4 linked regions of the Nothobranchius furzeri genome follow. The protein of the gene in region 2 purifies or fractionates together with the protein of the main gene of each other region. This does not show direct contact. Links are inferred from orthologs where the notes say so. Each region holds a gene or a part of one and is shown on either strand. Other genes may lie near its edges. The genes, in order: nufip2, fam98a, atxn2l and rtraf.

Evidence for each region.
Region 1: the proteins of fam98a (region 2) and nufip2 purify together in Homo sapiens (co-immunoprecipitation; 3 studies listed by BioGRID and IntAct, with this or other methods). This does not show direct contact. The link is inferred for Nothobranchius furzeri from reciprocal best matches to the Homo sapiens genes FAM98A and NUFIP2.
Region 3: the proteins of fam98a (region 2) and atxn2l purify together in Homo sapiens (co-immunoprecipitation; 3 studies listed by BioGRID and IntAct, with this or other methods). This does not show direct contact. The link is inferred for Nothobranchius furzeri from reciprocal best matches to the Homo sapiens genes FAM98A and ATXN2L.
Region 4: the proteins of fam98a (region 2) and rtraf purify together in Homo sapiens (affinity purification with mass spectrometry; 4 studies listed by BioGRID and IntAct, with this or other methods). This does not show direct contact. The link is inferred for Nothobranchius furzeri from reciprocal best matches to the Homo sapiens genes FAM98A and RTRAF.

Annotation. Positions count from the first base shown.
Region 1 is NC_091750.1:49,401,652-49,407,122, forward strand, and holds the start of nufip2 (FMR1-interacting protein NUFIP2), read left to right. Parts: upstream 1-2,055; 5' UTR 2,056-2,151; coding exon 2,152-2,299; intron 2,300-2,506; exon of another isoform or gene 2,507-2,642; intron 2,643-3,055; exon of another isoform or gene 3,056-3,191; intron 3,192-3,595; coding exon 3,596-5,227; intron 5,228-5,471. UniProt on the Homo sapiens protein: Binds RNA.
Region 2 is NW_027223037.1:4,131,210-4,136,519, reverse strand, and holds the start of fam98a (protein FAM98A), read right to left. Parts: upstream 3,463-5,310; 5' UTR 3,344-3,462; coding exon 3,306-3,343; intron 2,853-3,305; coding exon 2,704-2,852; intron 1,715-2,703; coding exon 1,580-1,714; intron 1-1,579. UniProt on the Homo sapiens protein: Positively stimulates PRMT1-induced protein arginine methylation. Involved in skeletal homeostasis. Positively regulates lysosome peripheral distribution and ruffled border formation in osteoclasts.
Region 3 is NC_091756.1:34,765,970-34,770,663, reverse strand, and holds part of atxn2l (ataxin-2-like protein), read left to right. Parts: intron 1-923; coding exon 924-1,351; intron 1,352-1,423; coding exon 1,424-1,510; intron 1,511-1,599; coding exon 1,600-1,713; intron 1,714-1,810; coding exon 1,811-1,891; intron 1,892-2,008; coding exon 2,009-2,070; intron 2,071-3,039; coding exon 3,040-3,389; intron 3,390-3,481; coding exon 3,482-3,551; intron 3,552-3,648; coding exon 3,649-3,783; intron 3,784-3,868; coding exon 3,869-3,932; intron 3,933-4,090; coding exon 4,091-4,272; intron 4,273-4,368; coding exon 4,369-4,507; intron 4,508-4,590; coding exon 4,591-4,694. UniProt on the Homo sapiens protein: Involved in the regulation of stress granule and P-body formation.
Region 4 is NC_091754.1:55,850,510-55,855,790, reverse strand, and holds rtraf (RNA transcription, translation and transport factor protein), read right to left. Parts: upstream 3,623-5,281; 5' UTR 3,501-3,622; coding exon 3,440-3,500; intron 3,030-3,439; coding exon 2,905-3,029; intron 2,743-2,904; coding exon 2,643-2,742; intron 2,425-2,642; coding exon 2,344-2,424; intron 2,258-2,343; coding exon 2,169-2,257; intron 2,085-2,168; coding exon 2,016-2,084; intron 698-2,015; coding exon 649-697; intron 570-648; coding exon 415-569; 3' UTR 176-414; downstream 1-175. Other genes in the region: histone deacetylase complex subunit SAP18, read right to left, coding at 4,419-4,575, 4,673-4,795, 4,870-4,979. UniProt on the Homo sapiens protein: RNA-binding protein involved in modulation of mRNA transcription by Polymerase II. Component of the tRNA-splicing ligase complex and is required for tRNA ligation.

The sequences.
Region 1 (5,471 bases), on a different chromosome or scaffold from region 2:
GCAACAGGTCCACTATCACGGTCCAAAAAGAATCAGTTGCACAACCATCTAGAGTAGGAGTCTGCAACATTTACAATCCAAAAAGCCGTTTTTCTCCTCAAACTTTGTTTAGAGCTAAAAAGGAGTTTAGAGCGTTAGTGGTGGTCAGAGGGGCCGACGGCGCCAAATGGCAGCCTCGCCTCTGTCAGACCTCCCCAGGGCGGCTGTGGCTACAAGTAGCTTACCATCACTAGCAGTGTGTGAATGTGAGAGTGTGTGAAAGCGTCTTTGGGGGTTTTGAAAAGCGCTATATAAGTTCAATGCATTATTATTATTATTATTATTATTATTATTATTATTATAACAGGAAGTGTGGGTGGAGTAAGACTGGTAGTAAGGTGACTGACTTCAAACTTGCATTTTTATTTTATCCACACATTATTTCTTTATCATTTCTTAGAGGCTGACTGCTTAGTAGTGCATTACATAATATGGTTAAAGCTGTAATACTTTGAATAATAGTTTATTAAAGCTTAATAATGCACTACGTAACTTAATAAATGGATCCTTATTGTAACGTTTTACCAAATTTACATTTCATTACAACCTAACTGCTGAAAATAAATAAAGGATACAAAAAAAAATCTAATTCCTTTTTTTGTGTGAAACTTAAAGTGCTAAACAAATTACTTCCCTAAAATTTGTTGATACATCTAAAACTAAGAAATGGATTAAAATAAATACGAATGCTTTAGTACTTTTAATGTTTTAATTTTCAGTCAGAATAAGCTGTTAGTCAGAAATATTAACATGCTTTTTAGGTGCTTTACACTAAATCCACACTTCCATGAATTCCTTTCTAATCTAAAATTTCACTAAAACTTTTTCTCTGAGTTAATAAAAATATCACAGCAGAAAATGCATCTTAAACCCCTCGATATCTGCCAGAACACCGTTTTTATTTTAAAGATACTGCATGTCTGTGCCCTGGAGAGAACCCTTTCACTAAAACCTGTCGTTTAAAAAATAAAACCTGCCTTTAAATGAAGCAGTCATATGAATATTTTATGTCAAAGTAGCAGTCACGTGCACATTTTAAAGGTGAAGTAGGGCTGCACATATCAGCAAAAAGTGTCAGGCTAAAACAGGCGTGGTCTATTTTACTATAGATACTTAACTTTCACAGTTTTCAGACATCAGTTGAGACATGTTGAAAAAAGAAAGAAATGGTAGAGCTAAATTATATACGTGTGGGTTTTATTCTGAGTCCAGAGACAATGGTGAAGTTAGGTGATTCATTTGTCCTTGTGTTTCCTTTCCTGCTCTAAAGCGAGATTAGAAAATTATATGTTTAGCCGCTAGAGGGAGTCACTGGCGCGACTATTTAATTATTACAACTACCACAAGACAACAAAAATATAATAATAATAATAATAATAATAATAATAATAATAATTATTATTATTATTATTATTATTTCATAATTACCGTTGAATAAATCAAAGCAATACATAAATAATATTGATATGCTGTCTATCAAATAATCAGTGTTTTTATTCCTTAAATGTGGCTCTGTGTGATTCCAGCCAGGTAAAGCATGTAAAAATAAAAATGTGCATGATTTTACAAACACGTCAATTTTTCTTATAATAAGCTGATCATATATGCATTAGGCAGCAGCAAGAAAATTTTGTATAACGCAAATAAATTAACTGCTTTTCCATTTTTGGAGGGGGCTGGTCTCTTGTGACCCTAATGTGTCAACTAGCTGGAGACGTGGCAGCGCCTCGGGTCATATGATTTAGGCTCTTCCACGAACCCCACCCCGTTATTTCACACTCCATATATATATATATATATATATATATATATATATATATATATATATATATATATATATATATATATATATATAATTTGAAATCACTCCCGTGTTATCCTAAACTTCTACGTGTGCGCACATTTTAAAGTCTTATGAAATACTCTTTAAGCACCTAGGAGTTGATTCTAAAGGTGGGTTTCAGAGGAGTGACCACCCAAAACAGGGCCATTTTTAGACATTTTACTGCTGACGTTTACAGAGGCTTCAAATAGCTTCCGTTTGACTCTGGTAGTGATTGGACTGAGAGCTAATAACACACAGGCGGAACGCGTCCGACATTCTTCACTTCAATGGAGGAACAGCCCAAAGATCGGGCACAAGACAGGCACTACCACCACCACGGGGAGGACAGGAACTCTACTCAACGCACAGCTTGTCTGAAAAATGATCAGAGCCACTTCCAGTGCCAGCATCAGGAAACGCAGACGAAGAAAACAGGTCGGGCCGCCCTGAAAAGTCGGCTAATGTCAATGAGCCGACTAGCATTCGCTAGCTAACGTAACTGGGAGCCAGCTAGCTCCTAGCTGCTGCCCCGAATAGTTTTGAGGACGGGCGGAGCAGCTGGTTAATCAGACAGATAGTCAGCCAGTGTCACACGAGAAACCACACATTATACTCGCTATCTGCTGACGTTGCGTGAGCGTTGTCGCTGCTGGTGGTTTGACAGATCGCAGATTGACCTTGTGCGCCGGTGCCGTGCCGAAAAAAAGAACCCTTTATTAATTTTTCTAATATAAATGTAGATACTTGTGTCCTCAGCGGTCCAGAAAAACACGAGGAGGTATGTCATTTGTAACTTTTACTCGGTGTATTGGTAAAAGAACATACCTTGGGATTAGCTTTCTGCGCTAAGAGTGCTAGTGATGGCAGGGGCGCTTTTTTTCGGCACAACACCGGTTTCACCGCCTAATTTTAAATGGCTTATGTAGCTGAATATGTTCTAAAACACCGCTTATGTCCCTCTGTATTCTAAACAAAACAACTCTTCTGTAACAGTGGCCTAAATTGTACTGATGTTATTCCAGTTAGCTCTGTGCAGTGTAGGAAACCGAGCCGGCTCCGCTGGAATGTTCTGTGCAGCCATTTCCGGTCGGCCATGTCAGAATATCACAGTTAGCTAACGCAACACTAACCGGCTAGTTAGGAAAATATGGACAACAACGACACGGTGGACGTTTTTTTACGCGTCATTGTCGACCGGTACTGTGGTGTTATCGTTGTCCGCTACTAGCTAGGCGATATTAGCAGACATTAGCCATTTGACAGGCCCTTTTGAATGTTGTCTGGAGAAGCCACGCAGCTGATCAGGCTCTGTCAGCATTAAGCGAACGTAAGCTGACAGTCGCTGTAAAATGTACATTTGCTAAATGAAACTAATTGTTTTGGCTGTGACAGGAATGTGAGGTGTGTTGTGCCAATAAATGTTACTGGGGTGGAGAAGCACTGTGGAGTAGGAAGTCCCACGTTGACACAGCACTTCCCACGAATCTGAGCCTTCAGAGGCCTAGTCATGATGCTTCACTGTAAATCTGTGCTTCCTGTATCCATCCACCTTTCCTATGCGGTGTGCCATTAATACATTGTGATAATTGTAGCATAATAAGTGTTTGGCTAATCTTAAAACATCACTTTCCAAGAAACTGCAAACCATAAACGTATAGTTGTTAGATTTTGTGGTGTCTGTAGAGTCCTATCATTTCCACATCGTCTTATTTTCTTTCCTTTTTTTTTTAGGCAATAAAAAATTAAACGTTGGCGACGAGGAAGGAGAGAGGAATCTACGTCTGTCTGATCCTGTTGGTATGTCGCTTCCTTCCCACGGCAATGGTAACAAACATGCGCACAACGCCAGTCTAAAGCAAAAAGGGGCGCAGAAGCTCTACACGCCTGCTCCAAAAGCGAGCAGCAAATTTCTGGACCGTAAGAAGAATATGGACTTTAAAAATGACAAGGAAAAGACTCTGGATTTGACTCACGATGACCTCCAGAGCTTGGATAAGAAAGACTCTGTTTTGCTTCACAACGGTGTCGTAAATTGTGGCTTCATTACAAATGGCTATTCTAGCAGGGACAATGATGGCAGCGGATCCGAAGGCGGGTACACCACTCCGAAGAAACGCAAGACCAGGTGTAACAATGCCAAGAACACTGATAATGTGACAAAAGAAAAAGAGAGAGACATGCAGCCCCGCAACACTACACAGGAGCTGGGGGCTTTGAATCCTGAGGCGACTGAGAAAGGCAGATCTACCCAGTCTGCTGCCAAACGAGCTGTCGTTCCCGAGACTACAGTGGGGGAATCTCAAAGGAAAAACTCCGATGGCAAAACAGCTGGCACCTTTGGTAAGAAAACAGAGGAACGGCACAAAGGCAAACTCTCCTCTCCTTCAAAGGAGGACCCGTGGACTTTGTTCAAGCCCCCTCCCGTATTTCCTGTGGACAATAGCAGTGCTAAAATCGTTCCTAAGATCAGTTATGCAAGTAAAGTAAAAGAGAACCTCAATAAAGTAGCTCAAAGTGGAGAAGTGGTTCCTCCTCCCATGAGACTGTCTCAAGTCCCGATGTCTGCTATGAAAACTATCACCTCAGCTAGCTTTACTAATGGTCCTGTTTCTGGAAATGGAAACGGCTGCCCGTCTGCTGGCACCTTCTTCGTTCCTGCTGCTAGTTGTATTCAATCAGCCCTGTCTGTCCCAAGTGGCGAGAATGTAGCATCTTCTCTGGAAAGTAACTGTAGCTCAACAAGTCCTGTAGATGGAGACGCTAACGAGCTTAAAAAGTGTACTCTGTTAATCTACCCTTTAAATATGCAACCTGTGCTCCCTAGTGCTCGTCACCTCGACCCACCGGCTGCTAAGACAAATCAGAAAGCCCTGGGAGACATCTTCCAGAATCAGTGGGGGCTCTCTTTCATCAACGAGCCCAACCTGGGGCTGGAGGGAGGAAACGGGCATCCTCCTGCTGAGGACCAGACTTCTGGGACTTCTCCAAGTGAGAGTCAGACTGTTGAAGACAAGGTGGTCCTGCCGTGTTTTGATGTTAGCCCAATATTTGTAGAGCCTGGAACTTTGTTCAAAGACTCTGAGAGAAGGACTTGTGCCCCTTGCCAAGCGTCAAACGCTCGTTCTCCTGCTTTTGAGGAGGAGACAAAGTTCCCGCCATTTGGCCAGGACAAAACGAAGTTTGAGATCAAAGGTTCTTCTGTCTCGGCTCTTTGTAAAGACAATGGTGCTAAGCCTGTTCAGGGCCAGCAGACCACTGTGCTGTTTGGCTCTTCTAAAGAAGTGGTCCACCCGAACGACGCTAGCAGGAGGTGTAGCTGGGGGCCCTCTGACATTAAAGCTGCTGTCGCCTATCACACTAAAGGTAACGGTGTCCGCTTCTATCTGTAAAACATATTGGTGACAATATGGCGTCCTGTGAATGGGTAATAACTGGTGTGTGTGCCAACTAAACTAACCCCAGTTTGCTGTTATTTTCCAAGCTTTCCTCGTGTGACAGCCGAGTGTGTTGGTTAGATTTCCTAGAAGTTGGTTTACAGCCCGAGTGACCTTTAAACTCCAACTTCAACTAGCAACGTTTTAAACTTAAGCATGACTTTATAACATGA
Region 2 (5,310 bases):
ATGCATTCATGGAAACCCTCTGGTGTTATTTTATGGCCAGCGCTCTTTCATCTATTAAAACCCATTTAGTCACCCAGATGGAGTCCAGAAGCAGGTTTAAAAAGTCAGAGAAACATCTGAAAAACAAAATGAAAACATAAAAAAGGCAGAAAATAATATCCCCCAATAATGAAAGAGCAGAAAGACAACATTCAAGGGTCAGAACTTCATATTTGAAATGAGTTTGATTATAAATGCTTCATTTAGACTTATGGCTGCAGTTCACCCTTTAGCATCACAGTTTCTGGCCGAGGGAAAATCCTTCAGCCAGCAGAAAAACCAATAAATGCTCCAGATAATAAAATGTAGCCGAGGAGCAACGCAGAGCTAGCTGGGAAGCACCAATTCCTTAAAAACAGGAAGGAATTATGCTGTAAGTCAGCTCCTTGTGAGAAACGCCACACCTGCAGAAATCAGAGAAGACCAGGAGGAGGAACCTAGCGAAGAATAAAACATCAACACTTTAACTTCTGGGGCGACGGCAGCACAGGAGTTAAGAGCTCGCCCTGTAATCAGAAGGCTGCAGGTTCGAGTCCCGCTCACTCTGTTGTTGTGTCCTTGGGCAAGACACTTAACCCACTTGCCTGCTGGTGGTGGTCGCAAGGACCGGTAGCGCCTCTGTCAGTGCGCCCCGTGGCAGCTGTGGCTACACCGTAGCTCATCCCCACCAGCGTGTGAAATGGGTTGTAAAGCACCTTGGGGGGTTCCAGGACTCTAGAAGGCGCTGTATCAAATACAGACCATTTACCACTTATAAAGACGACTGGCTTTGTTCATCATTCCAACTCAAACTAGGAGATTAAGCTGCAATCCGGAGTTTCCCCCTTTCAGGAATTATGTATGATTGTTTAGAACTCCGTAAAAGGGAAAGTCTGACCCCGTTCTGTGAAGACAATATGTCATTTTAATTTTTGCTAGGCCCGTCCCCCATCCTGCAGATCATGACCTAGGTGCTGTTCAGCATTAGCCAGCAGCGATAGACATACGCTTACGTACAGATGTCCATCACAGACAGAGCACGAGCGTTGAAAGACGTACCTACACTGATGCAGAGCTGCCAACGTTCTTCCTTGACCAACAAGTCTTTGAAACATGTTTGAGAGCAAAATGTGAAAATAGTGACTAAACCGTGTTTTAGCTCCGTTGGCCGGGTAGAGATGCGCGCTGCCGGAGGAGAGGCGTTGCTTTCAGCCATAATACACATTAGGTGGAGAAGGCTCCTGGTGTGATACAGTTTTCAACCTCTAGATGGTGCAGTCAGATAAAGAAATATTGATAAGCTGAGCTTGTCTAGAGAAGACATCCAACACGGTGGTAACAGAGAAAAGATTAATTTTACACCAGAAAATGTTAAAAGCAAGTTTTAACTGAGATTTTCTGAAACAGTTCACCATAATAGTTATGTCAGCAGGTCACATGACCTGAGGGTGGACACAGGTGGGCGTGGCACCAACACATGGAGTGAGTTTAACTCCTTAACTCGGGTGTAAAGGTAGAAAAACGTCTGTTGTATTCGGACCAGATGTTATAAGGTTCATACTGAGGAGCAGCAGAGAGTCGATCCTCCTGAGGAACCTCTGGGTGATGTCTCCACTGGTGAGGACGGCGTAAGGACAGGCGAGCTCTGACAAAAGACCGCTCATCTCCAGTTGGAAGCCCTCTGCCTCGCTTGGACCTGCAGCAAGTAGAAGGTCAACACCACAGTTTAGTTCAAACAGGAAGCTGACTCAGGGTAAGATTAACCATTAATATCCACTCTTCATTTCCCAGGACGGAAAAGTTATTAAACCCATTTTTCTCTCTTCCAAACAGGCAAATGTTACCCATGAGCTAAAATCTTGACATACATCCACCCAGAAGAAGCAGACGATTCTAGAATGTCTCAGCTCGATGAAGTCAAGGCCGATTTCCTTCAGTGATCATGATGACCAACTCCCATCTGCTCCACTCAGATCACAGGAAAGAGGTTCTGATGTTCAGGAACATCAAGGCTGAAGTCTACCATGAACTAGAACATGCTGGAACACCAGAGTCTCCGTCCACAGGGAAGCCAGTTACACACAATATGGAGACCAAGGCAAAAGCTTCTGCTCCGGAAGGGCCGCCCTCGAGCTGGACTGGAATCTGCTGCTGTCCATATGGACGAGAAAAATGTCTTCCGGATAAAGGTTCTAGGTTCGAATTAGATGAAGATTGAGCTGTTTTGCCACAATGAGAAGATGGATGTACCAACTGTCAAGCATGGAGGCGGAGGTATCATGTTGTGGTTTTAGTGCACAAAAGAGGAGAGGGAGGACCACCCCCGGATTCTTCAACTTCACCTGAATGGTTGAAACATGGACCCAGTTGGGTCTTCAATTAGAATGATGACCCTCCAGGATATCCAACATGACCTCCTTGCCCTGTAGCACCCGATCAGAGGATGGGTGGGCGTGGTTAAAGTGACAGAGCCCTGAAATGATTCTATCTGAAAGGTACTGAGACTGTCAAGAATATAACAGCTGAAATGTGAGACCAGAGAGCTGACATGATGAAGAGGTTTAAAATACCCAATTAAACAAAACATTGGTGGGGTGTTTGTAGGTAGTTAAGCCAGTTTTTTATCAGTTTGACTCTGTGTGGAAGAGAGAATCCACAATCCATCAGGATTAAAAGCCATCTTACAGTTGGTGGCGTGGACGTTCTCCTCCAGTCTGAGGTAGAGCCTCAGCTCTGAGACGATCCAGGCACAAAGCTTAGTGAACTCTGGAGAGGCTGCTCCTCCAGAGGCGGCAGAATCCAGAGCTCCGTCCTCCAACAGGGGGCCTTGGTACCTACACACCAACCCAACACACACACACACACACACACACACACACACACACACACACACACACACACACACACACCAGCGCCTAAATGTCTGAGATGATTTGATGTTGAACCAGACTCTTCCGGGCTCATTCCAGCTCGCTAGCATCCACATTAACACTCAATGCTCCTCTCAGACCCGGTTTTCCAGAACCGGATCCTCCCGAGCTGACAGACAGCCGTCAGGTTTGGTTTGTGCTGACACAGCTGGCTGCATATGCCACGTAAAACCCGGTTTTCAGCTCTGTTTCCACCGGGACGGAGGCAATTAATCACAGTTATAGCAAACGGACGAGCAGCTCGTTTTAGCTAAAGAAAGATCCCGCTGACCGACAGACTAGCTAAAACCGGATATACGGGTGGGCGCGGGTCTCTGGAAACTGACGGCGGAGGTAAAAGTTGTTTTTGTTGCTCACCCCAAATCCTCCAGAGACACGAGGACGTCATTCTCCATCTAAACGATCTGCGTCAAATAACTACGAGTGAAAAACAGATTTTACATCCAACTCAGCTGATACACGTTTGGGTTTTTTTCCTGTTCTTGTTCTTCTTCTACGTTTGTTAGCAGCAGGGAGCCACACTGAAGCGCCAGTACCGCCACCAAGCGGTTGGGAGCGTAAACATGGGCCAGTACTGTCAAACCAAAATCCGTTTGTTCAGGCCATATTTATATGTCGATGGTTCAGGCCTGAAATGATGTTCCACTTCCTCTTTCATCTGCACAGTACTGGTAAATAAAAAAGGTTAAAAAGAAAATAAATGTATTGAAAAGTTTTAAAGTATACGTATAGATACAAGCATAGGCGTCATTTTAACCGGGGACGCCGGGGACATGTCCCCGGCAAAATTTGTGATTGGCAGCTGTGTCCCCCCCACTTTCAAAAATGCCTGCTGATGAGGATTTTTGTTTTACCAGCTCAGATCTTATACCAGGGGTCGGCAACCTGTTCCCATCAAAGAGCCATTATTACCCGTTTCCCATGGTAATTTTGGACGGACCTTAATAAGCAGTGACTTAAGTGAAGCAGGCGTAGAAAATTTAGTTTAAAAAGACGTCATAAATGTGTTCCCCCATCCTTTTTATTTATAAAATATGAAGTAAAAACTCACAATTTAATTTTCATTTGTCATTAATATTTAGTCTACACCCGTGCGTTAAGTGGACCATCTTCCAGTAAAAGCAAAGCGTCCAGCCCACCTCTCCAAATGCGTAAAATGTGCATCAGCCGCTAGTTAGGCGCGACGCGCGCACCGTCAGCTACATCAGCCCAGACAAGAGCAGAGCAAATAGAGAAAGAATAGAGGATAATTGTGTCTGGATGTGGATGGAGATTACATTTTACAGCAGCCTGATCATCATTTAAATACATAACCCATCACCTGTCTTCTAGTCCATGCTATCAGCATTATTTTAATTGTTGTGTGTGTGTGTGTGTGTGTGTGTGTGTGTGTGTGTGTGTGTGTGTGTGTGTGTGTGTGTGTGTGTGTGTGTGTGTGTGTGTGTGTGTGTGTGTGTGTGTTTCCACTTCAAACACTGGTCTAACCAACCAGACCAGCGTGTCCAGTAACATATTAATGTTACAATTAAACAGTTTCACTTCATGTAGGCTAGGAACATTTCACCTGTCGTGGCCCGACCGCTTCTGCTCCACATAAACTTTGTGCGTGATCAAATGTCTCTACGCGTCATGCGTCTCCATATTAGAGACGGGAACAAGCGCTGTTCAGCCAAAGTTTCATAATTTCATAAAAAGAACATTTTTCCAAGTGACACATCCCTCAGAGAGACCGGGTTTCCAGACTGTTTCAGTGGGAGGAAATCTTATCGCATGCGCCGTGGTGCTGCACTGCGCTGCGAACCCCAGATCTTCAGCTCACTGTCCACCGTGGGCGCTCGGAGCCACGCTGAACACAGTGTCCAGTATAAAGCTCTGATGTTCTGATGGGAATATTTTACCTCCGCGATGTGCGTTAACGATTAAAATGTCAGCTCATCCATGCGCATCAGTGCGCGTCGGGGTAATTCTTTCAAACCAAGCAACATCCTTGAGTTCATCTGTCAAAATAAACAGTCAAATGGAAATATATGTAACCTGCCGTTTAACTGTTTTGCCTTCCTGTGAAGATTGTTGCAAAGAGAAACAATTAAACTTGATTAACCCCAGAGAACCAGAGTGCATGCGGGAAGATTCCTCCCACTGAAGCGAGTGTTTTCCAAACCCTGTCTCTCAGAGAGACTTGTCACTTAGAAAATGTTCCCTGATTATGAAACTTTGGCTGAATAGAGCTCCGGGAGTTGACGTCACTTCTCCCGGGATGCAACAGTTCAAATCGAAACGGCGCCATTTGGCAGGCAGAAGCCGGCAGCTGGACTATTTGTTATTGTCAGAAAACTCAATCAAACGGGAAATATGGTAGATT
Region 3 (4,694 bases), on a different chromosome or scaffold from region 2:
ATCAAACCGTGTGTTCTGCGCATGCTCTGTTCGCAAGGAATCTTGGTCATTTGAGTAGCGAGACGTCTTGTATGCGCCAGAACACCGGAAGTAAACAACAAGTTGGGAGCAACATGGCGAGTCGCGGCACAGCACCACACTTTTGGAGTGACGAGGAAACTAAAGCGCAAACAAACGCGGTCGCTATCTCTTCCGAACTGGGAAACATGTTGTTGTTTTCACGGATACCTGATCAAGAAGAACCGGAAATGACGCATATTGCGTCTGGACGCAGTCCATACGTCCTGACGCTACCCCAACGTCCGCATTTACATCGGGTTATGCAAGTTAAAGGTAACTCTTTCTATTTATGCTAGTAAACGGGTTATTCTGATCAACTCACAAACCCAAATACCGACCTTAACCCGACCATAACCCGGATATTGGCTGCATGTAAACGTAGTCACTGGTAGATGTTTTTGTCCATGCCCTGACTACTCACAGCTGTTCTGTTAGGGGGAGGGGAGGATCTACCTGATTACCCCCCCCCCCCCCCCCCTTATACAACACTTTGAAGTCAGGATGGTGTGAAACAGCTAAACCAGAATGGGGGGGCTGATGGACAATGACTCATCTTTGAGCTGCTAACACCAGGTAGTCACAGCTAATTTGGTGAGTATGTGTGAAGTGGAGGGAGGCGACTTCTGACCAACAAAGCTCCTGCCACTGTTGCATCTGCAGCCCTGGCTCTGACACGTCTCTGGTATGCAGGGGTGTGCAAAAGGAAACGGTGTTGGCTTCGTTTGCGGAGCGGAGGATTTGTAACGTGCTGTATTCAGATTCAGGAGGGGAAGCTAGGCTTCATTTTGGGTTTCTGTGCACCAGCTGGTTTTCATGGTTGGACCGCAGGTCGGCTTGTTTGATGACCTCTGTTTCTCTCTTAGAGAGGTAAAGTACATCCCACTACCCCAGCGTCAGAGAGAGATGAACCGGGAGCGAGGTCCTGGTGGACCTTCTCCACACAATCGTCTCAGTGGATGCCACCGCTCCACTCCTGCGCCCTCGTCATCATCGTCCCCAAGACCCCCCCTACCCTCTGGTGCTGGCCCCCAGCCTGGGGTCTCCCCCTCAGAGAGAAACAGCCCTCTGTCAAGTCGAGGTGGGTCATACGTTCCCCATCACTCACAAGGGAGCCCGAGCCCTGGCTCTGGTCCTGCAAGCCCGTACACCCCTGCCTCTCCTGGACAAGCGTCCACGCCAGCTTCTGCTTCTACCGCCACATCCCCATCCAGTCCCCCCGCCCCCCATGGACACGCAGTTCCTCATTCCCACTCACTGTCGCTGTCTGACACCGGCAGACCCGTTAATGGAGGTGAGTCGTGTGTCTGACGGTTGAGCTGCTGGTTCTCCTTCATGTAGCTCATACAGATGATCTGCCTTGCAGTCTCTACTAGAACGTCCCCCAAAACCCAAAGACCTCCACAGTCCAGCAGGACGAACCGCGCTTCAAACTCACACTCTCAGCCCACAGGTAACCTCCATGCAGTCTTTATTATCATTTGAGCGCTGAATTCAGCCCCGGATCTTAATCTGAGTATTTGTTACCATCTGTTGTTGCAGCCACTCGTTCCCCTAAGTCAGGCTCCTCCCAGGACACGTCTTACTTGGACGCTTCGCTTGTCCCCCTACCTGCCCAGAAGACATCTGGCCCTGCCCCAACCTTCCCTGTGGATGGTAATGTCTCCCACTGGGCTTTTACTTTAGTGTTTATTTAAGGCTGGGATCTATGAAGTCCTATAAATATTAGATTTTTATTGTTTTCTTATTGCAGTGAATGAAATCCTTGGTGCAGCTGCAAAAGAGCGCTGTGCAGAGAGCCCGAGCAGCACGGAGGACGGCAAAAACAGCAAAGGTGTGTGTTTTAGAACAAACCCAAAAATAAACAAAAACAACAACATTAGCAGCTGCAGGCCAGGAGTGAATTATTGTGGTTTATTTTCAGCTTCTTGTTTTGTCTTCTCTCCATCAGCACCGTCGATCCAGCAGCGGTCTCAGATAGAAGAGCTGCGAAAATTTGGCAAAGAATTCAGGGTAAGTCTTTCTTATTTAGTTAGACGTTAATAGATAAATTCCTGATCAGAAGAGAGACCAACGTGTTTCGTGTGAAGTCGGAGAAAGAGAGTCTGGAACTTTAGCTTTGGATCCGTAGCTTCTGTTCCTGCAGGGCTGCTGCTGCTATGATGTTTATTTGTAGTATTTTAATGCTGTAGACCTCATCCTGCTGGGGACGTCTCACTCAGAAACTCGGGCTGTGTTGAAAAAATAGATTCTCATAAATATTCATGAGTATCGATTCGTATGTCCAAAGATGGGTTTAACCCTTTAAGCGCCAAAGTTGCAAAATAGCATCAAATGTCATTGCTGACATTTAACAAGCAACAGCTGCAACTATGGTCCCTCATGAAGTTCCTGCTTTATACCAGAAGGTAGTGGAGATGTCCGTCTTCAGCCTGAGCAACACTTATGGGTGTGTTTGTACTGAAAGTGTTGGAAGAGTTTTTAGAGCTTGAAAACTGTCGCCCACCAAGAGGCTCGGGGAGGAGGAGGGGGCGAAGGCGGTGGGTGCAGCTTCAGCTTTTGGATGATTCTTAATGTGTTATTTGTAATGATGCCCTGTGTTTGTGTTCATTGATGCAGTCATTGACTCTTGTTGCGCCCTCTGTTGGCTGTCCTGGATCTGTTTGCTAATCCTGCTATTGGGCCATGCAGCCGTTTTAACTTGCCAGTATTTCATTTATTTGTTGTTGAATGTTAATAGTGTTAATATACTACACAACTACATAGTCATGTAATTAAGGTAACGGCAAAAGGGAAGAGTTCGTTGGCCCAAATCGACATATCGGATCCAATCGCAATAACTGATTCTAAATCTTGAGAAACGGATCAGTTGTTGAAATCAGCTCTATCAGAAACCCGTCGAGGGCTCTAACCCTAACGAGAAAGCCAACACTCTTCATAAATAACACAAATAATGTCATGAAAACTCTGATTGCCTTCCAGCTGCAGCCGAGTGGAGGCAGCTCCAGTTCTCCCACTTCTCCTGCAGCAGCAACACCTCCCTCTGTCGGTGACATCACCCAGCTGGCCACAGCCAAGCCTCCATCGTCAGACCCTGCTTCAGAGGCTAAGTCTCAGCCTGCAGCTCCCAGTCCGTCTCAGCCTCAGCTGCAGCATTCGCCGGCTCCTGCGGACGAACCCAAGGACGCAACAACCACGCTGGGTTCTGCATCCGCCGCTGCCACGGCACTCGTTTCAGACAGGCAGTCGCCTGCAACCCCTCAGCCAGCCAGGACCCCAGGAAGTGAGGATGTACGGTCTGAGACGACGGAGCGGACGGAGGGTCTGCCAGAGTGAGTTTTAAACAGGATTGTTGGTTCTAATGATTCAGACTTTTGATTCTTCTCTGCATGTTTTTACTGACGTGAGTGTTGTTGTCTCGTAGCCAAGTGAAGAAATCAACTTTAAATCCAAACGCTAAAGAGTTCAACCCCATTAAACCTCAGATGCCCATGGTGAGTCACTTCCTCAGATCTGCTCAAATAAAACACGTGTGATGCCCTTACCTTCAGTCCCTGTAGCTGATGTGATCAGTCCGTTTCCATCTCGCAGACTAAACCCAACACAGCACCCACCCCACCCCGCCCTACCCCCCCGAGCCCGGTGGTCCTGCAGCACCCCGGAGGCCAGGCGCCGCTCTACAACGCCCCCTACCTCCAGTACGTCTCTCAGATCCACACTGTACAGGTAAGTTAGCTAAAGATGGTTCCTGCTACCAATGTGGGATGAAAGCAAGTGGTTTACAATTAATTCCATCTTTTCTCACCCCCAGCCCCCACCAATGTACCAGTACACCATGCCCACCGTCACCCAAGGAAAATACGCCAGGGCCAAAGGTCATTCTTTTCTCCATTTACAAAGTTTGTGTTTTTTCTCTTGAATTACTTATCTTCCTGTATCTGTGACCTTTGTCTTGTGGCCTCTGTACGTGACCTGCTCTTGCCTTTATTTCATCACAGGAAACACTTTTCTGATCATTCTGTCCTCTCACCAGGATCCGTCGTGGCGACGCGCTCTGATCATGGTGCCACAGCACCACAGATGCTTCAGGCCGCTGCATCAGCAGCCGGAGCTCCTCTGGTGGCGTCGCCCTACCCTCCATCTTATCTCCAGTACAACCCACAGCAGTACAGCCAGCAGCAGGTCATTCAGGCCATGACGCCCTACCCTGGACAGGTAGAGACTCTGGATGTAAACCGTTACCAGAAACTCCCAAATGCATCATCTGGGTTTCTCTTAGCTAATGAGGTTTTTATCTCTCCTCCACCGTAGCCCATGTACTCCATGCTCCAGGGTGGAGCAAGGATGCTAGGTCAAGGTGGTGGTCATCCACAAGCCCTGGGACCACCTGGAGGCCCTCAGTTCCCTGCACAGGGAGATGGGCCCCAGGGACCACAGCAGGGCATTTATGGTGAGCAGTGGTGGATTAGAAAATAACAGTCCTAGCATGGAGTCATCTTTAACCCTGTCCTCTTGTTTCTGCGTTACCTGCAGCCCCTCAGTCATTCTCTCATCATTCGGGTGCCGTTCATCAGCCGCAGCCTTCTAGCACCCCAACAGGAAACCAACCCCCACCCCAGCACGCTGCACCCAGCCCC
Region 4 (5,281 bases), on a different chromosome or scaffold from region 2:
TAAAGGAGACATTTTTGTCCACGAGGACAGTCGAGTTAGAAGGTATCTCTTGACACAGTCAAAGTCAAACTCCTGAACCAAATTCTTTTTTCCATCCAGAATAAAACCAATCACAGAAACCCCAGAATCAGGAAGTCGATTAAGTCTGGCACAAAGTAAATAAGCAAAATTAATATTTACCGACTCAAAATAATCGTTTTATTCCCGCTGTGGAGAAAAACACCAGCTCAACAGTATCCACCTCACCGCTTCCTGCTGAACAACAAGCGGTAAATGAACATCTGACCCTGGATGTTTAAAACTGATGCAACAACAGAATCATTTATGTCCCTTTAACCATCCCAGCAAACAAGAAGGGCCTTTGTTCTCAAAATTAAATAAAAATAAAATCTCCATCAGTCCTTTGCTTCCTCCTCATCTGCCGACCTTGCCCAGCCTGTGGTCCGTCTTTGGGTCGGCTATGATGGCCTGAACGGCGACGATGGCCTCGTTGATCTTTGTCTGCAGCTCTCGTAGCTCCTCGATGTGCAGCAGGCGCAGGATCTGGGCCGCCTCGTTCAGGGTCGCATCTGAGGTCGGAGAACCACGGAGGTCAGTTTTTCTCTTCTACACCGATGGGTGTTGTGGTAGCCAAACACAAAAACTCACCTCCAGTGTCAAAACCCAAAACGTGTTTGTCTAAAGCCACCGGGACTCCCTGGGGACAAAAGAGAAAGTATGAAGCTTAAAGATCAGAATCACAAGCTGAAGGTGATCCAGAACAAAATGTTTTCTTTCAGATTTACTGATCATCGATTTAAATGAAACAACATGGGCTAAGAAAATAAATAAATAAAGACTTCACGTGACATTTTTATAGTGTGTACACTCAAAAAAAATCATAGAACAGCTCAGGACTTCTGAAGAGTGTTTCTGGTTAAATGTCGTCTAGTTGTTGTGGAAAGGCCTTTGAAAACCCTCAGTTTAGAGAAATGGAGATTAGCTAATTGTGACAAGCTAGCAGCTAGTCAAAATGAGGCTAATTATAAAATGTCTTAAAATAACTACAATCTCTAAATCATGCAAATACTTTTTTACAATTAATACTGTCATAAATGTCATGTTTTGTAGTTAATCTAGCACAGTGGTTCTCAATTAGTGAGGCGGGGCGGCTTGAGAGTCCACGTAAGTAGAAGCCATATTCAACACGTACCTTGACATCACTGAAAAGAATTGAGGACAACTGTTTAAGCAGAAATATTATGAAAAGCCAGCCAGAAGCACCATGTGTGTAAATAATAGGGGTGTGTATTGGTGAAATTACGGCGATACGATACACATCATGATACAGGGAAGACGATACAATACATCACGATATATTGCGATACATTCGATATTAACGACTTTTTTTAGACTGAATTTATCATAGTGAAATTCAACAAACAATCCAAACCGATACTAACATGTTTAACATGAGGTATCTGAACCATAATGGAGGGATTTGCATTTCAACGGTGGAAACAAAACCCACTGGCACACTGCTGCCAACTAGTGATCGGCGTTTGAATTGCACCAAAAGAAATGAAAATACACAAATGTTTGTATGTAAATTCTTCCAAAAATTAGATACACTGCTTTTGAATATCGATATATCGCAGAAAACTATACCGCAATATATTGCGATATCGATATTTTCGATACACCACTTTTGAAAATCGATATATCACTGAAAAAAATATCACGATATATTGCCATATCAATATTTTCTGACAACCCTAGTAAATTATTATTATTATTATTTAATAACTGATATATTTTTAACTAGAGCGTTTTAAAAATTGCAAACTCTTTCTCCAAACTGAGGCCATTCAAAGAACTCCCTACAGCTGGTAAGATACTAACTGTTCACAGAAACACAGAAAAATGTTTAACGTTATCTTCAAGACTAATAAGGTCATTTTCTTGACCATTTTAGCTAATTCTACCATTTCTGTTTAATTGACTAGTTTGTTGCTGTTTTACAGTGTAACGTGTACCTCTCTGTTCTGGTTGGCTTTTGTGATGGCCTCTGGTGAAAGTCTCTCCTGGATCAGGATGCGGATAGCCTGCCGAGTGAAAACATTAGGAAACGTCACAAAGTAAACAACTTGAGCACATTCAGGGATGATGTAGACACGCATACAGCTCACCTTGAGCATGACCAGGTAATCGTCGTGTCGTTGGATCTTTAGAATGTTCGCCAGAGCGGTGACTCCTGCTTTAAAATCTGGAGAACTGCCTGAAATGTATTTATTTTTTATTAGACCTTTAGGTGATGAATGAAACGTTAAAAGGTAGTAACAGCAAAGATGTGTTCCTGCTTACTGTCCAGGTTGATGAGAGGATCCACGGCTCTGTCGCCGTTCCCCGAAGCGGCCAGCGGCGGGCAGTTTTTATACTTATCAACTACAAAACAAAACACCCAGAATAAGGAAAAAACGCCATCATATAATAACCTAATTATAATTCAGCTTTCTATGCGTGTTGGCATTATTTCCTTTGTTATGGCCCCCTCTATTGGTCGTGGTCGGTATTTCAACCATTGACACGCCACATCAAAGCTGTGATTTCTGAATAAATATCATTTTAGGAGGTTTTTACAGATAAACGATCACATCAGATACCGTTGTCTCCATATTCATAACGCACAGCCAGCCCCAGTAACCAGTCCAAAGCCTCCTTACGCTCCTGGACTCCAAATGGACAGGTCAGGTCCTGCAGGTACTACACACACACACACACACACACACACACACACACACACACACACACACACACACACACACACACACACACACGCACGCACACGCGCACACACACACACACACACACACGTAAGCTCTAGTTGGGACTCTTGTTAGGAGATAAGCTCTGAGATAGTCTCACCTTCTCATAGGCTTTGGGCCACTCAGAGCTGGGGATGTTCCTAAGGTTGCCCCGGTCTTCGATCTTGTAGTGTCGGATCTTCTGGTCCTCCAGCCACACGATGCAGTTTCTGAAGTGAGTTTCATCTGACAAAAGCGGATGCGTCACTATTTTACTGGTTTTATGAAAACACATAATTTTTTTAATCACCATCTGCTGTTATACACTCTGATAATTAGTGAAGCAAAGGAGTCCAGCTGTTTAACTGATAAATATAGCCCAATGAGACACACGGTCATCGTTTAGTCTGCTAGACTAGCAAAATACATCCCTAGAAATGAAGCTATCTTACAAATATTAATGCCGAATACACATGTGGTGTGTTTTTGATTGATTTATGAAGATATTAAAGCTGATAAAACACGTGTGCTACTAAAACTGAGCACAACCTTAAAATAGTCTATTTGTAGCGTTTAGTTCGCCGCCTCAGGACTTCGTGCTAACTTGGTTCCATTAAAACTCACCGAACCTCCTAAACAGCCTGTTTATTGCTTACCTGAGCAGTCGAACCCGCTGGGATCGTGATAATCTAGAGCTGTTAGTTTTCTGCGAAACATTTCACGAAGTTTTAATGTGAAACCCTTCGTTGTTTCTAAATAATTAAACCTTAAATGACCACTACGTTGCTAGCTCAGTGTGCGGCAGCGCGCATGCGTTGTCGGAGTTGAGTATTTCCGGTTGTGCTTTCCAAAATAAGAGCTAACAACGAATTCACATCTGAAACAAGTGTCTTATTACGTCACAGGATGGATGCTACTCTGAAGGAACGAACTGGTTTAGTAAAGGAAGTGTATGGAGAGGCCAGGAAAAAGGGGACCTTTGCCATTGTCTCTTTTTCAAATACCCACATTTGAGTTTGTTGAAGCATACGTCCATTACTTTAAGCTTGTAGACACCAAAGAGCTTGAAATAACGTTATCCGTGGTCTATCTTTTTCTTTAAAATGACTTAATACCAGCTCAGTGGTCTAGTGGTAGTGTGTCCGCCCTGTCTGGAATTCGGGGTTCAAATCCCAGTCGTGTCACACCAAAGACTTTAAGAATGGGACCCAATGCCTCCTTGCTTGACACTCAACTTTAAAATGGTTGGATTGGGGGTTAAACCACCAACTGGTTCCTGAGCACAGCCATAATTACAGCTCACCCATCCCTATGGCGATGGGTCAAATGTGGAGATGGCACCTTAACTTAAATACATAGTTTATATAACGAAACAGAGAAGTCTCTATACAAATTTGCAAAAAAAAAAAAAAAAAAAACTTTTTAAATTAAGGATTATCATTCAAGTGAGTTTGGTATGTTTGATCAAAACTGGTCTGTTTTTGCAAATTAACTCTTCACAAACACACATTATTGATATTAACTACTCAACAACAGTCTATAGGGAAAAAACAGCTTTATTAAACATGAAGAATTATAAAATGAGGCTAAACTACTCAAGAGAACCCAAAAACAGATGTATCGCTTCATGTGCGTTCAGAAGGGCCTCATGCGTTGGTTGAGGGGCGGGGCTCTGTTGGGCGGTGTGATGGCTATGTCCAAATAGTCTCCAATCTGGAACCGCTGGGACTGCAGCGTCATGGAGTCTTCCAAACCCTTCCTGCCAGACATGGTACTGCCGATCTCTTTTAACCTGAACATTGTAAAAAGAGATGCACAAACTCAGTCCACAGGAATTCATGAACAATAGTATGATTTTACGACCCCGATCTGTGTTGCTCGACACTTACTTGTACATTTTCCCTCTGGGTTCTGGATAGACTATGGCAAAGCTGAAGTGGGTCCCCTTTTTCCTGGCCTCTGGATACACTTCCTTCACTAAACCAGTTAGTTCCTTCAGAGTAGCATCCATCCTGTGATGTAAACAAACACTTGTTTCAGAGGTTCTGTAGCATATACCAGAAACGTAATGGTTTGTAAGTCTTACCAAGTGTAGATTTGCAACTCGCTGGAAGGAACGTTCCCTCTAGAAAATTCCTCTATTCTGTGGTGTCGGCCACTGTTGGTAGTAAATACTCTCAGGAGGAGGGGGCAGGTCTGAAGGAAACAAGAAAACTAAGTTAAACATAAGCAAAAGTACAAATAAATATCACATTCTTTACATGTGATTTAAATATATGAACACATTTAGAATAACTGATGTAAATGTCAGTGTTATTTCAATGATTCAACTGGATTTTTTTTTTACATAAACCTTATTTTGAAAGTTTTCATCAGGGCAAAGTGAGTTCCGAAGTGAGTCTTCGCTGCCCCCTGGTGGCCGTAATAAGTACCTACAGCTGATAGAAAGAAATGGCTTTTTAAGATTGCCATCTGGTTCCTGATTAAGAAATTTAGTG